Tribolium castaneum: one gene and its partners. The protein of the gene in region 3 binds, or shares a complex with, the protein of the main gene of each other region. Links are inferred from orthologs where the notes say so. Each region holds a gene or a part of one and is shown on either strand. Other genes may lie near its edges.

Evidence for each region. The genes of interacting proteins can lie anywhere in the genome.
Region 1: Arp3 (region 3) and Arpc4 share a complex: the UniProt entries of both Caenorhabditis elegans proteins name them as parts of the arp2/3 complex. The link is inferred for Tribolium castaneum from reciprocal best matches to the Caenorhabditis elegans genes arx-1 and arx-6.
Region 2: Arp3 (region 3) and Arpc2 share a complex: the UniProt entries of both Caenorhabditis elegans proteins name them as parts of the arp2/3 complex. The link is inferred for Tribolium castaneum from reciprocal best matches to the Caenorhabditis elegans genes arx-1 and arx-4.
Region 4: Arp3 (region 3) and actin-related protein 2/3 complex subunit 3-B share a complex: the UniProt entries of both Caenorhabditis elegans proteins name them as parts of the arp2/3 complex. The link is inferred for Tribolium castaneum from reciprocal best matches to the Caenorhabditis elegans genes arx-1 and arx-5.

The regions. Positions count from the first base shown.
Region 1 is NC_087401.1:12,843,790-12,846,205, reverse strand, and holds Arpc4 (actin-related protein 2/3 complex subunit 4), read left to right. Parts: upstream 1-1,409; coding exon 1,410-1,916; downstream 1,917-2,416. Other genes in the region: ND-23 (NADH:ubiquinone reductase 23kD subunit), read right to left, coding at 975-1,097, 1,189-1,228. UniProt on the Caenorhabditis elegans protein: Functions as actin-binding component of the Arp2/3 complex which is involved in regulation of actin polymerization and together with an activating nucleation-promoting factor (NPF) mediates the formation of branched actin networks.
Region 2 is NC_087399.1:3,469,734-3,473,921, forward strand, and holds Arpc2 (probable actin-related protein 2/3 complex subunit 2), read right to left. Parts: upstream 2,801-4,188; 5' UTR 2,691-2,800; coding exon 2,617-2,690; intron 2,466-2,616; coding exon 2,372-2,465; intron 2,328-2,371; coding exon 1,618-2,327; intron 971-1,617; coding exon 943-970; 3' UTR 325-942; downstream 1-324. UniProt on the Caenorhabditis elegans protein: Functions as actin-binding component of the Arp2/3 complex which is involved in regulation of actin polymerization and together with an activating nucleation-promoting factor (NPF) mediates the formation of branched actin networks.
Region 3 is NC_087394.1:30,789,615-30,793,714, reverse strand, and holds the start of Arp3 (actin-related protein 3), read right to left. Parts: upstream 2,801-4,100; 5' UTR 2,619-2,800; coding exon 2,575-2,618; intron 2,519-2,574; coding exon 2,338-2,518; intron 2,287-2,337; coding exon 1,972-2,286; intron 427-1,971; coding exon 1-426. UniProt on the Caenorhabditis elegans protein: Functions as ATP-binding component of the Arp2/3 complex which is involved in regulation of actin polymerization and together with an activating nucleation-promoting factor (NPF) mediates the formation of branched actin networks.
Region 4 is NC_087401.1:15,949,768-15,952,371, forward strand, and holds actin-related protein 2/3 complex subunit 3-B, read right to left. Parts: upstream 1,329-2,604; 5' UTR 1,194-1,328; coding exon 1,188-1,193; intron 1,137-1,187; coding exon 954-1,136; intron 910-953; coding exon 559-909; 3' UTR 501-558; downstream 1-500. Other genes in the region: GPN-loop GTPase 3, read left to right, coding at 1,463-1,507, 1,554-2,330. UniProt on the Caenorhabditis elegans protein: Functions as a component of the Arp2/3 complex which is involved in regulation of actin polymerization and together with an activating nucleation-promoting factor (NPF) mediates the formation of branched actin networks.

The sequences.
Region 1 (2,416 bases), on a different chromosome or scaffold from region 3:
AAAGTTTACTGAAAAACTTAGTAAAATTGACAAATTCCTTATTATGAAAAAGTAATAACATTATATAATTATGGTCAACATATTTTTAACATGTTTTGTCTTGATGTTTAACAGTTTTGTGACTAGGATATTAATTATAAGTTATAACTTATAACCTTTTTAACCTTAATCGTACCTAATTGCCATGTCAGTATTTTGATTTTTTATTAATAATTGTAAGTAAAGTATCAATATATAACAAATGTTCATTACAAAAAAAAAACTAGAGTGCTGTGAAATTAAAAAATAATTGTTTTGTGATTAATTCATTCTCCCATAAACTTACTTTTTGGAAATTAAAAATATAACAGATGTTCATAAAAGTTAATATTATTCATAAAAAATGTCGGAAATGTCTTTTTTGTTGTTCAAAACATAACACATAGCCTTTGAAGACTATTTATGAATCTTGGGTTATAAATTCTATTGAGCTGGTTTAGTAGGCAACCAACAATATAATGGAAAAATTGTACTACGACATCCGTAAAAATGTCAAGGCAGAAAGATAACAGAGTTAGTAATTAATTGCTGTTATATTGTTTTTTTTTTTTTATTTTTTAGCCTAATGATGTTTATTATATAAACGAAACGTTGCAACTCGTTGATTTATTTAAAACTTTTTAAGGAAAAAATTTCAAATTTTGCGTTCACGCGTTCAGAGATCTCAGTACAGTTTATCCTTAATACCAAGCATCTCTGCTTAGCATTTATAATATTTTATTTAAAAGATGACTATTATTTACCTAGCAGTTTATTATTATCAAAAATCAAAACGCCTGTGAATTATGCAACCAACAATACAAACGCCACTAGTCCACTACTACTAAAAACTTATTTAATGTCGAAAAACGAACATTATGACTACAATACCGAAAACAATTCAATACCAAACATCCAAAAATTATGTTTTTCCCCCCAATTAAAGTTTCACTTACCGGTTACTTCGTTCAAACTCATGCCAGGCTCGCCCGGATTTACGTTGATGTAGTCGCCTTTCGACGTGCTTTTTAAGCGGTTTTGCCCACATGCTCGCAGGAAAATCGAGGGGCGACCTGAGACTGTTATGAAACCAAATTGAGGTTATGTCGTTCGACACAAAAAAACCGAACGCAAAACAACGAAAACACAAACCCGGCAGTAGCTACGTACCTGATCTACTCAGACTGTACAATTTAAGGGCCCCGGACATGTTTTTGATTGTTTTTTTCGAAATTAAAGCAACTTTTTTGACATTACGCACCTTACGTCAATGTCAAAATCGCTGCGCCATCTGGCGGATAATAATTTGTGTTGACAAATTGACAATTGTATGTCAGAGAGGTGTGGTGTTATCACTGTTATCAGTCGTAATTTTGCTCAAAAAAGCGGTAATGTCGGCGACGCTACGGCCCTACTTAACGGCGGTGCGGCACACCTTAACGGCCGCCATGTGCCTGGAGAACTTCTCCTCCCAGGTGGTGGAAAGGCACAACAAGCCGGAGGTTGAGGTTAGGTCCAGTAAGGAGCTGCTGTTGACTCCCGTCGTGATCTCGCGCAACGAGAAGGAAAAGGTGTTCATAGAGACGTCAGTGAACTCGGTCCGTATCAGTATAGCCGTGAAACAAGCGGACGAAATCGAGAAAATCCTCTGCAAGAAGTTCATGCGGTTTATGATGATGAGGGCGGAGAATTTCGTGGTTTTGCGGCGGAAGCCCATCGAGGGCTACGATATTAGCTTCCTGATTACGAATTTCCACACGGAGCAGATGTACAAACATAAGTTGGTCGATTTTGTGATTCATTTCATGGAGGAAATTGATAAAGAAGTGTCGGAAATGAAGTTGGCGGTGAATGCGAGGGCTCGAATAGTTTCGGAGGAGTTTTTGAAGAGGTTTTGAGGAGAGCGAGAGTGGACATGTGTACATAAGTTCTAGGTTTATCCAGCAGGAAGATTTATTTATTCCTAATTTCAAATACGAATTCTATTTTTACTTATTATATTGTTTCGCCAATAAATCGATCATTTTATTAAGAAAAATGTTTTTTTGTTGTTTGGACCACTGGGTCACTGGTACTACCAACCTCGAACACGAAAAACACCAAAGCCAATTTGGGGGCATTTCAGATAAAGCGTCCAATTAAGCAATAAATAATAAAATATATAAAATGAAGCTTTATATACTTATGAAAAATTCACTGTTCTTTTTAACTCTGAAATCGGATTCAAAATTTGATTTTTTAGTGTAGAAAGCCGGAAGTGAAATTTCAAATCAGAATTTCAGTAACTTGGACTTTTTTTTCAAAAAAAATAGCTGAAAGTAAATAGATTAAACACATAAGTGGCAAAATAGGATCTCTATTCCTTTAGGAGTACGTAATGTTCACAAAAGCGCGTTAT
Region 2 (4,188 bases), on a different chromosome or scaffold from region 3:
TAACGGTGAATAATAAAAAATGTGGAATTGTAGGGTTAGGTTTATTGTCAGTCTCAGGCGAGAAATTCGCTACTGTAGAATCTGTAACGCACGAAAATGATTAATAAAATTACAAATAAAATTGTGCGTGTTTGCTGCTCCCACCCAATTATTGATACTCTCAATACAGTCTTTTGAAATTCCTTTAATAATTTAAAATAATAGGAATTTCGCGTTAGTAGCAAGTCATCCAAAATGACTGCTTGAGTTGGCCATCCTGGCTTAATAAAGTTCAATCAAGTGTCGCCACACGTTTTCGAGTTGGTAAAAAAATGATACACAGACTTTAAAATAACATTTTATTTTCTATTATTGAATTAAACAGTGTCTTGCTCTGTTAATGTAATATAAAAATGAAATGAGCATGAAGAATGCGTCCAATTGCCTACAGAAATCCGAAAATATTGCAACCTGCTATAGAAATTGACGATTCATTTATTACCTATTAAACTATGTTAAGTTATACAATTTATTTGGCGGTTCAAGTTCTCAATAGTAAAAAGGATCGTTCCGAATCAAAATGATAACAACAAGCGGATACATAGTAAAAAACCTAAAACACGTCTCGCAAACTGGGTAAAAAATATGTAATTAAACTTTGTATTAGAAATATATAATTCACAATATTGATGTGCTTACCCATATTTCAAAGGAAGCACATGGTTAAAAGATTGAATCTATGTACACAAGTAGCTGAAAAATCAGCACTTCTATTAACTGAACTGTAGCATTCAGTACTGAATGAACCAATTGATTGACTTAATAAATAAACTGCAAGAGAGGCTGTGCAAGAACTGACTGATGGGAAAATTGAATGAAACAGTTAAGTTTAATAAATTGTCGGCAGTTATTAGTCCTTTTTTGAGCTGATCTTACAAGCAAAGTTCACTAGTACTATACACATCAATCCCGTCGAACGAAAGTTCTCCCTCTGTAACAAATCAATCAATTAAATTATGATACGGATGTCTAAAAGTTAGGATACGAAACGACGTACAAATAAAACGCTCCGTTCTCGATAGTTCCGTCAGTGTCGCCAGAGAGCGCAGTTGTTCCTTGGTTATGTTAGTAAAACAAAAAATACAGACAGATGAAGCATTAAATTCTCAACATAAGCAAAATTTATCGTAAACTGTAATTAAAAAAATGTCAAACTTTTACCAATTTGCACTCCCCCATATTTTTCAAAACGGTGCGAATACGGTTGAAGATACAAAAAAAGTGTAAGGAAGAAAGTTGTAGAGAATTGAATTTGCTAAAAAAAAGTCCGCGAGACCATATCCATATCTTCAACCATTTTGGCCCCAAAGTGGTCCAAAGACGCTCAAGCGACGGATTTGTTTCATTTTACCGGTTGCCAAGTATCGGAGAGTTAATTTATAGCTAAACCGTTAAAGATAGAAATATGGTATCGCGGACTTTTTTGTAGGAAATTTAATTCTCTACAACTTTGTTCCTTACACTTTTTTTGTATCTTCAACCGTATTCGCAGCGTACGCAAAAATATGAGAAAAAACCCTGTGATTTTGTACTTCGTTTCGTCTCCTAATAAGTTGTTAAAAAAGCAAAAAGACGTACGTTATAGTTTTCTTATCTGTCGACTTGTTCTCCGGCCTGGCCCTGTTCAGGACCTTGAGGAAATCGGACGTCTTGGCCCTCATCCGACTGTGAATGTAGGCCTTGGAGCATTTGATGTGATAATGTAGATAATGGCGAAACATGTGAATTAAATCTATTGTGTTGTCCCTCGTGGTCCTTGCCGTGTGTCTCGGGAACAGGACAAAAGTGACGTACCCCACGTTGTTATCGACCTTCGCGTCGGTGTTCTGGAGCTCCCGGGGGGGCTCCCGGTGGCTGAAGAGCACGGGGGGCGCCGTGTGCGACGCCCTGAGCCCCTCCTTGAGCTCCTGCATGAACACCTTCCCGATGACCACGTCGTCTTCGTCCCGAAAACGCGTGGAAAAGACGACGGTGACTCGGTCCGCCTTCGCCTCAACGTACATTGTTTCGTCATCGCGGTAGTGAATCACCGCACGTTTCTGTCCCTCGTCTCCGTTTTCTTGAAAATCGAAGTATTTCTCAAACACTGAAGCGAAGCAGTTGCGCTTCAAAAGCCCGATTTTTTTGATGACTTGGGGCCAATCAGTCGGGATGTTCTCAAGGTCGAATAGGATCGAAACGTTGTAGCCGTCTTCAGGGGCGGCCAGAAGGGGGCCGTACTCGCGCTTGAGGAGCTGGTCGGCGCCGTGCTCTTGCAGTTCTTTGTAGAATTTGAGGGAAATGCTTATCTGGAATGGGGCGCTTATGTGGGGTTACTCGGGGGTGGGCTTACCCTAATTTTGGTTTTGTCTCCGTTTAGGTTTGAAATGTGGTACAAAACACCGTCGAAGTCCGATACTGTTATGTCGATTGACTCGTTTTTTAACCTGGAAAGATAGGCTGGTTTCAATGGTTTGGGAGATTTTCCTTGTGAGCCGAGTTTAGATAATGCTGGTGATAAAGTTGCGCCTGAATTTGGCGATAAAAGCCTCACCCCGAAACTACCGGTCGGTTTTTTAATGTAAATAAGGGACTTACCCGGCTTGGGCACTTTTTATCTTCACGGTTAATGTCTCTTCAACTACCCGATTGTTTGTCTCAAGCAAAATCATTTTAAATGATTGGGAATTGTGGTTTTTAACTAAAAAAATACATTTACTAGGTCTGACTGCTCATGGGAGGTGCTGTGGCTGACTGTCTGTCTGTCAACTGGCATTTACTGGGTCGGTAAGTTAGTAGGTCTGTCGCTTAAACAGAGCGCCAAACTTAAATAAAATACTTGGTCCAGTGAATTCTGCGACACATTATTTCACGTTTTATACCTGTTTTTTGCAAGGTTAAAAATTTTGAAATTTTTTGCTTAAAATTTGAGTAGTTATCTTCACAAAAATAAAAAAAAAATTTTTTAAATCACTCCAGCAAATTTTTATGGACTTCTACATGTCTTAACAACCCACAAAAGTTGTTAAAAGTCCACAAAAAGTCCAAATGTTCTTTTTTTTGATGTTTGATTTTTTCAATTTTCGTCGCAGTTTTTGTCGGTTTTGGGTACCCGGAACATTTCTCGAGCAATAGCTCCGGAACTATTAGAGATAACTCTATGAAGTGTCCCATCGTTGGAAAGCTCTTTAAATTATCTATTTTTTTCAAAAAAGATTATTGTTCTCCGACTAATAGTTTTCGAGCAAATTGCTGCTAAATGCAAAAATTGGTAAAATTTTTAAAAATTCATAACTAAAAAACTATTGGGAATTTGGCAATTTTCTCGATGCCAATCGATTCCCCGGATCATTTTGCATAGGTATGGATCAAAAAACTTCCACTTTTTGGAATAGTTTAGTAGTAAATAAAAAAATAAAAAAAATTAAAAAAAAGTTAACACCCCCCCCTTAAAATCGGTCAATTTTTAAAGTGTCTCAAAATCAAATAAAACCTATTTTATCTTATAGATTTTGATGTGCTCTTTACAATGGAACAAACCGTTTTCTTCTAGCTCTTTTAGTTTGGCCGTAATCGGCGTTTGAAAATTGAAAATTTTATTGCGAGATATCGCCTTAAGTCCTATGCCATTTTGTAGAGTTTTTTATTCCGGTTATCCTTCATTTTTCCGTTTCTCGATATCTTTAATAGTTTCGTCGTAATTGGCGATTGAAAATTGAAAAAAAGTGAAAATGAAAACCTTTTTTTGCGTTTTTCTCGGAAACTGTAAGACCTAGAGCAACGAACAAAAAACCATCTAATAGCGCGTAATTTTATCTATTTTTTCGACCAAACCCGGAGCCTCTCCGGGCAACGGTTCCGGCTACAGAGGCGATCAAAGTTTTTCACTAAAAAAATTCATAAAAAAAAAACTAAAAGTCGTAGAGCATTGCGGTTTGTTCGATTGAATTCTACGGCTCATTTTACATATTATATCAATTTTTCACAAGAATTAAAAATTTAAAATTTTTTGCCTAAATTTAGGGTAGCCATTTGTCATAGTGAAAAATTTTTTTCATTAAAAAAATTCATAACTCGAAAACTAAAAGTCGTAGAGCAGTGCGGTTTGTTCCATTGGATACAGAGGCTTTTTTTCTCTATTATAGTAATTTTTCACACAATTTAAAATTT
Region 3 (4,100 bases):
CGACAGAACGATATTATTGTACATGGGCCTCCGCACATCAATGGGGCAGTTTTGGATAACGTCGTCCACGATCTGGGACAGCGGGATGGTGAAGTCTGGGTTGGAAAATTCGGGATGAAAGAAAATCTCTGGTCCCAGGAACCTCTCGTAGCCGACGTCCACGCTGAAAGGCTGTTTGGTAACCGAGTTCATCCCCTCGTATTTTTTCATCCATTTGGCCGGGTCTGCGTCGTATTTCGCAAACTCCTTTGCGATGTCGGGGCAAATGTAGCAGTGGCGTTCTTTGATCGCTTTGGCGGTTTCGAGGGACTGCTCGGGGGGGATGCCGATTTCGCGCTCGCGGAGAAGCGACTGGATGAAGTAGGTGATGTTGCGACCGGCGATGGGAATGTGTTTGATACAACTACCGATAACATAGCCTTCGGCCTAAAAGTTCAATCTAATTATTAACAATCTTAATAAAAAATATTGCTAAATAATTAAGAATAAGAAAAGACGAGTCTAGAATTTTACCATATATTTTCATTGTGGCATTAATAACAAAGGGAAGAAGCTCATCATCACACGTAAACCCATATTTATTTATTTTATCCAAGAAAAATAGTTTTTGAATGCATAAGAATTTTTTATTCACGTGTCAATTTTTTTCAATTTTCCACAAAGTTATTTCTTTAGGTAAATGTTAATTGTACTATTACTAAGTCGATGATGATTAAAGCAACAAAGTTGACTCTACTTTCGTTAGGTTTAAGTACAGTAAAAGTTCTAGGCCTTTTATAAGAATTTTCATCTGCCAATTTTTTTCTTGACGTAGCTATTTTTTGAGCAACTGAGTCGTCGATATAGCGTTCTGCTACTGTAGAAAATTTCAACCCCTCGGTGTATTTTATCTGACAAAAGTGGCTGAAAACAGCTTATTCTGACCGTTTTTATGCAAATTGGTTAATAAACCGTTGTTTCCGACTAGAATAAACCATTTTTAGCCTTTTCTATGCAAGTTTTCTCGTTTTTAAGCAAGAAACTGTACAAAATGGTGCGTTTTATTTATTCAAAATGGAGCATAAACCGTACTTTCAAAGACTCTCTACGAAAGTTTTATTGTTTTTAAACAAAGAATCGTCAAAAACCAAAGATTTTTACTTAAACTGGTGTCCAAATGGTTTGGGGTCAGAATAAAGAGACTTCAAGCTTCACATTTCACATTTTCGAGCAAAAAACCGTCTAAATTCAACTAATTAAAAAAAATGTTCAATTCTGCGTTTTGAGCCAGTTACTAACTATTGAAGGAATTCTGCAACTGATTTTGCCATTTTAGGGCAAAAAATTGGCCGAAATTATGTGTTTTTCCTCTAAATCGGTGTTCAAATCGTTGTTTTCTTCGATAGAAAATTGTTTGGTACTTTACGTATCCATATTGTCCACAGCATTGTGAATAAACTGTTGTAGACATATTCTGTTACTCAAGGTCGAGTTGTATAATCCTGATTTACTTAATTTATACTAGAGTTTATACAACTCGACCTAAGGCCTGGTGTACAGAAGGAGAATTAAAATTTAGTTAAGGTTTGGTGCTAATTGGAATAAAATTTTCATTGTATTAACAAAAAAATGGCAATGTCACAAGTTAAAATTTTATTGCAATTAAATGATCTCTAAACCTGCCCCATGTATGGTGCTCACATGAAAACATTTCCTAATGAAACTGTTCCAAATGTTCGTATTTATTTTTTAAAAACTTATTCAAAGTTTATAATACTCAAAATTAGAAAATCAGACAAAATTTGTGTTCTATTTTAGTTTTTTAAACGTTTTAAAAAATACTCCATGTGTAAAAGTAATAAAGATTCAGAAAACTATTAGATCTGATCTAAAAGTGTCACTAAAAGCAAGAGAGTAACATTGGTTGTTTTTCTGACTCAATCATTCTCTATTAAGAAAAAATGTGTTTAAAATACGGAATCATATTTTTACCACTGGAATAACGTGTGTGACACCGTCTCCACTGTCGATGACGATGCCTGTAAGAGTTCTTTCTTCGATACTGCGGCCAACCCAACTGGCCGCTAAAGCTAAGACAGCTTGCACAGCAATATATAAGCCAGGTACATTGAACGATTCAAACATAATTTCGGCTGTATATTCCCTATTTTCGGGGGTGTTCAATGGTGGTTCAGTCAATAAGAAGTAGTGATCTTCCGGTTCGGCTCGCAGGTATTTAAAAATACACTGCTCTAGAAACCTTTCCATCAAATCCCAATCCTCCACTAACCCATGGCGAACAGGATACTTGAAAAACAAGTCGTTTAAGTGAGATTAAAAGGCAAGAAACCGCTTTACTTTGACTGCATATCCGGTAGCGTCGAAGGCTTCATCGCCTATAAAGAAATCTAAATCTTCAACACCTTTGCACAGTCTTCGACTGGATTGATCGCCGACTTTGGCGGTTTCTTTTATTGCTATAGCGGAGGGTATTATAAATTGTGGTTCTTTATTATTGGCGAAGCCTAATTTGGTGTAACTGGAAATTAGGGAAGTTGTTAATGTTGCAAAAAGTTTGGTTATGAGTGGACGTACCCTGTGCCGACGTCGATAACACAAGCTGGTAACCTCCCAGTCATATTGACTATTATGTGTTAATAAAAAATAACAGGCAATTTGGAAAGGAATTTACTGTTTGGCCGAGGAAATGAAATAAAAACCACACCTTTGAATATGATAAATGACAGTTTTTCAATCACTATCATAAACCAAACACACTCATCGGGAGGACAAACCGCACCTCCCGGGTGGTACAACTGCGCAAGACCTATCCTAATTTCATAAAGTGTATTGTTGGTTATCTATATTAAACATTTTTTTAATACATTTTAAAAATCCCCGTTTTAAAAGTTTTGTTTGCCGTCATTATTCACCACAAAAGAGTGGTATAAGTTACTCAATAATTATTATTCATTAATGTGGAATAATGAGCCTTATATGTAAGCAACGTATCTTTTTTTTCAAATAAACCAATCTTTTTGAAAATCTTTTTTTCTGCTAAAAAGTCCAAACTGTATCAGGGGTATAACATATTTTTTGTGCTGAAGCTGATAGATGAATTTGTCTCAATTATCCGAAGCACATAAAGCGCCTATACTCCGAATAATATAAGTATAGGTACTATTTTTTCTCCTCTATAAAAAAATTTAATAAGTCATTCAGAAAAACATTACATTTTGTGTCAGAAAATTGTGATTCCTGGTCCGGGAATTGCAATGACAATCACACGACAATATCAAAAGTAAAGAGAACACAAAAAAATTAAAAAAAATTATATTGTCTTAAAGCAAAAATACAAAATTTAGGTAGACACTTTCGAAAAAAATTAAAGAAAAACACTAGAAAACAAATGTAGTCTTTTGGTACAAAACTTTCGTCAAGTCAAGATCTGGATTTGCATAGGATAAATTAATTTGGAAGACTTATTTTGTGTTAGTAGACAACAACGGTAAAACGATAAAACCGCATGTTTGAACTGCGTTCCAAACGCATAGATTTGTGTGTTTATGGGCAGCTGTTCTTATAAAAAAATAAGAGAAAAATTTTAAAATTAGGTTGATCGATTTATCATTTTTACAGTTACTTTTATTTTTTGTGACGATTTTTTTATTTTTCAAGCGAAGATATTTAGATATTTTACATATCCTTAAGTATTTGAGCTTTTTGCCCTTGGTTATAGGTCTTTAGTAAGTGCACTAATTGTAAGAACATTAAACAATAGAACTATATAACAGGTACTATGCATATGAACAATCTAATGAATATAAATATTTTGAGTCAGGTGTAGCTCAAAATTTTAATTTTAAATTAAATCTTGATTTCATAATGAGTTATAAATCCGACTAAAATGTAAATTGCAAAATATTCTGCATACAAGTGAATCTGTCGAGACAAGAACAAGAAAATTCAAAATGCAAAAAGATTTATTGAAAATGTTACACCTAGCCACCTGCTAAGTCAAAGTTTTTGACTACCAATTTACTTATGCAATAAAAGTTTTTTATATTTAATTTGAAGACAGTGATCTTGCTACACAGACAAGGTAACCGTGACCGCGACCT
Region 4 (2,604 bases), on a different chromosome or scaffold from region 3:
AATTTCTTAAAAAATAAGCTAATAAATCTGAGTTATGTCTAAAATGACAGTGTAAGGAACTTGGGTAATGGAACAACTGCGCTCTCTAGCGTCTTTAACGGAACTAACGAAGATGGGAACGTTTTATTTGTACGTCGTTCCGTCTCCTAACCTTTAGACAACCGTTGTATTAGTCCTTAGACATCACTCGATTTTTTTTTATTGAGAAGTCTTTTTGTACAAAACTTAAGAAAAATTAACGTTTTTTGCCTATTTAGAATAATTTCGGTCGTTTTTGAGCCGAAAAATTGTGTAATTAATTAAAGAGAAAGCGAAAAAAATTAAAAAAAAATCAGCGACTTTCGCGAGGCGCCTCTGCTTTAATGAGCCTCTTATCACTGAATTTCAAGATTGTTGTGTCCCCCGAACGGCATCCGGATTAAAGGTCTGTATGGGCGTTCCATGCGATAATGTATCACATATCATTCACAAACCGCGTGAAAACAAACCAAACACAACAATAAAAAAAAATGGTTTATTAATACAATACAGAATCAAATAATTAAAAAATTGGCAAATTCATTGTCCCGGCCCTGAGAGCGACTTATCCATGAACTTCTTTTTGGCAAAACACAGCCACCATTTACTCGGCTTCCCGTCCTCCCCAAAGACCCGATCGACGACCCGCAGCCCCACTTCCTGCCTCAACTGGGTTAAGTACGCCCTCAGGAACTCAGCATCGGCGGGCGACTTCGCCTTACTATACACCGAATTCAGGGGAAACCCTGGATCCCCCGGGATATCAAACCGGGAAATGGCCAAAGTGTACATCTCATTCTGGCCCTGGTTGCGGTTCGCACACCTTTGCAGTTTTTTGAGACACTCGGTAATGTACAGGGTGATGTAAATCAACAAACGGTCGGCCTCCGACTGAAAAGGGCGTTTTTGTGCCGATTGTCACAAGTGGGGCTCACCTTGATCTCATAAGTGCGGAAAAAAACATTGGCCTTGAAGTAATAAAGCGCCTCGTCTATGATATCCTGGTCGCCGGGTTGCCCCCCAAATGGGGGCGCTGGCCCCCGAAATTGTGTTTTAAACGGCAAAATGGCAGTGTTACCGACCGATTGTTGGTGCTCCAAAAACGCCGAATGGTACGCCTGAAACCACAAATCACACCAAACGGCACACAAGGGGGCTATCAAACGCACCGGCATGGTTTTTCCACAGAAATTTCACCAAACCTCCCAGATTAGTCACGTCGGTAATGCAGAACACTGCCACAATGTATGAACACTAGGGCCCCAAAACCCCCACTTAAACGGGCAAGAGCCCCACAAAATCGCACTTTTGGTAAAAAAACACACAAAAACACCGGTTTTGGGCGAAAAACGCCACTTTTGGGTCACAACACAACCTCACTTATTGCATGGTGGTAACACTGGTCGTTACCTAACCTAATTTTTTGCGTTTGTTTTTTGTAAAAATGCGGTACGCGCAGCTAGTTATTGGCCCCGCGGGCAGTGGCAAGGTAATTATTTGTTATTGTAGCACAATTTGGCTAATTTAATTGTTAGTCGACGTATTGTTCGGCTTTGGTGCAACACGCAGTCGACGCAAAACGCACCATAGAAGTGGTAAATTTGGACCCAGCGGCCGAACACTTCGACTACGAGCCACGTGCCGACATCCGCGAGTTAATCCACGTGCAGGACACCATGGAGGACGAAGAGTTGCACTTTGGCCCCAACGGGGGGCTTGTCTTTTGCCTGGAGTACCTGCTGGAGAACTCCGACTGGTTGCGAGACAAGTTGGGGGAGGAGGAGGACGATTATATTTTGTTTGACTGTCCGGGTCAAATCGAACTATACACGCACTTAACAGCTATGAAAAAATTAGTCAAGTTGTTACAAGACTGGAATTTTAATATTTGTAGTATTTTTTTGGTGGACGTTCAGTTTATGACAGACGGGGCCAAGTTTTTGTCGGGCACCATGGCTGCACTCAGTGTCATGGTTAATTTAGAGCTGCCTCATGTGAATTTGTTGTCGAAAATGGATTTGTTGAGCAAGGGGGCGCGCAAGCGCCTCGATAGGTTCCTCGAGCCTGATTCGCATGCCATTCTGGGGGATATTGAGTTAAGTGGCATGAATGCCTTCAATGAGAAATACAAAAAATTGTCTGAAGCCATAGGGGATTTAATTGAGAATTATTCCCTAGTCAGGTTTTTCCCCCTCAATTTGAAAAACCACGAAAGTGTGAGTGACATTTTGGTGACCATTGACAACGTGATACAGTATGGCGAGGATCAGGACGTCAGGACACGTGATTTCGAGGAACAGGACGACGAATAAAATTCCCTAGAGTGTTTATTCCAATTTATACTTTTTTTTATATAAAACAATAACACAAAATACTAAACTAAACCTACTTTTCTATCGGTTTTTATTCCTCTTAAAGCAACCTATACGATAAAAAAGGTACACGTGGATGAGACTTAAACTTAAAAAAATCACAAGTTATTTACAAACCGCCGAATTCGTTCAATTGCACAAAAAGTAGGAAAAGTGAAGTAGTTAAGTCATGTAAGTAGGAGTTATCACAGAAAAAGAATTTGTTCCTTCGTTT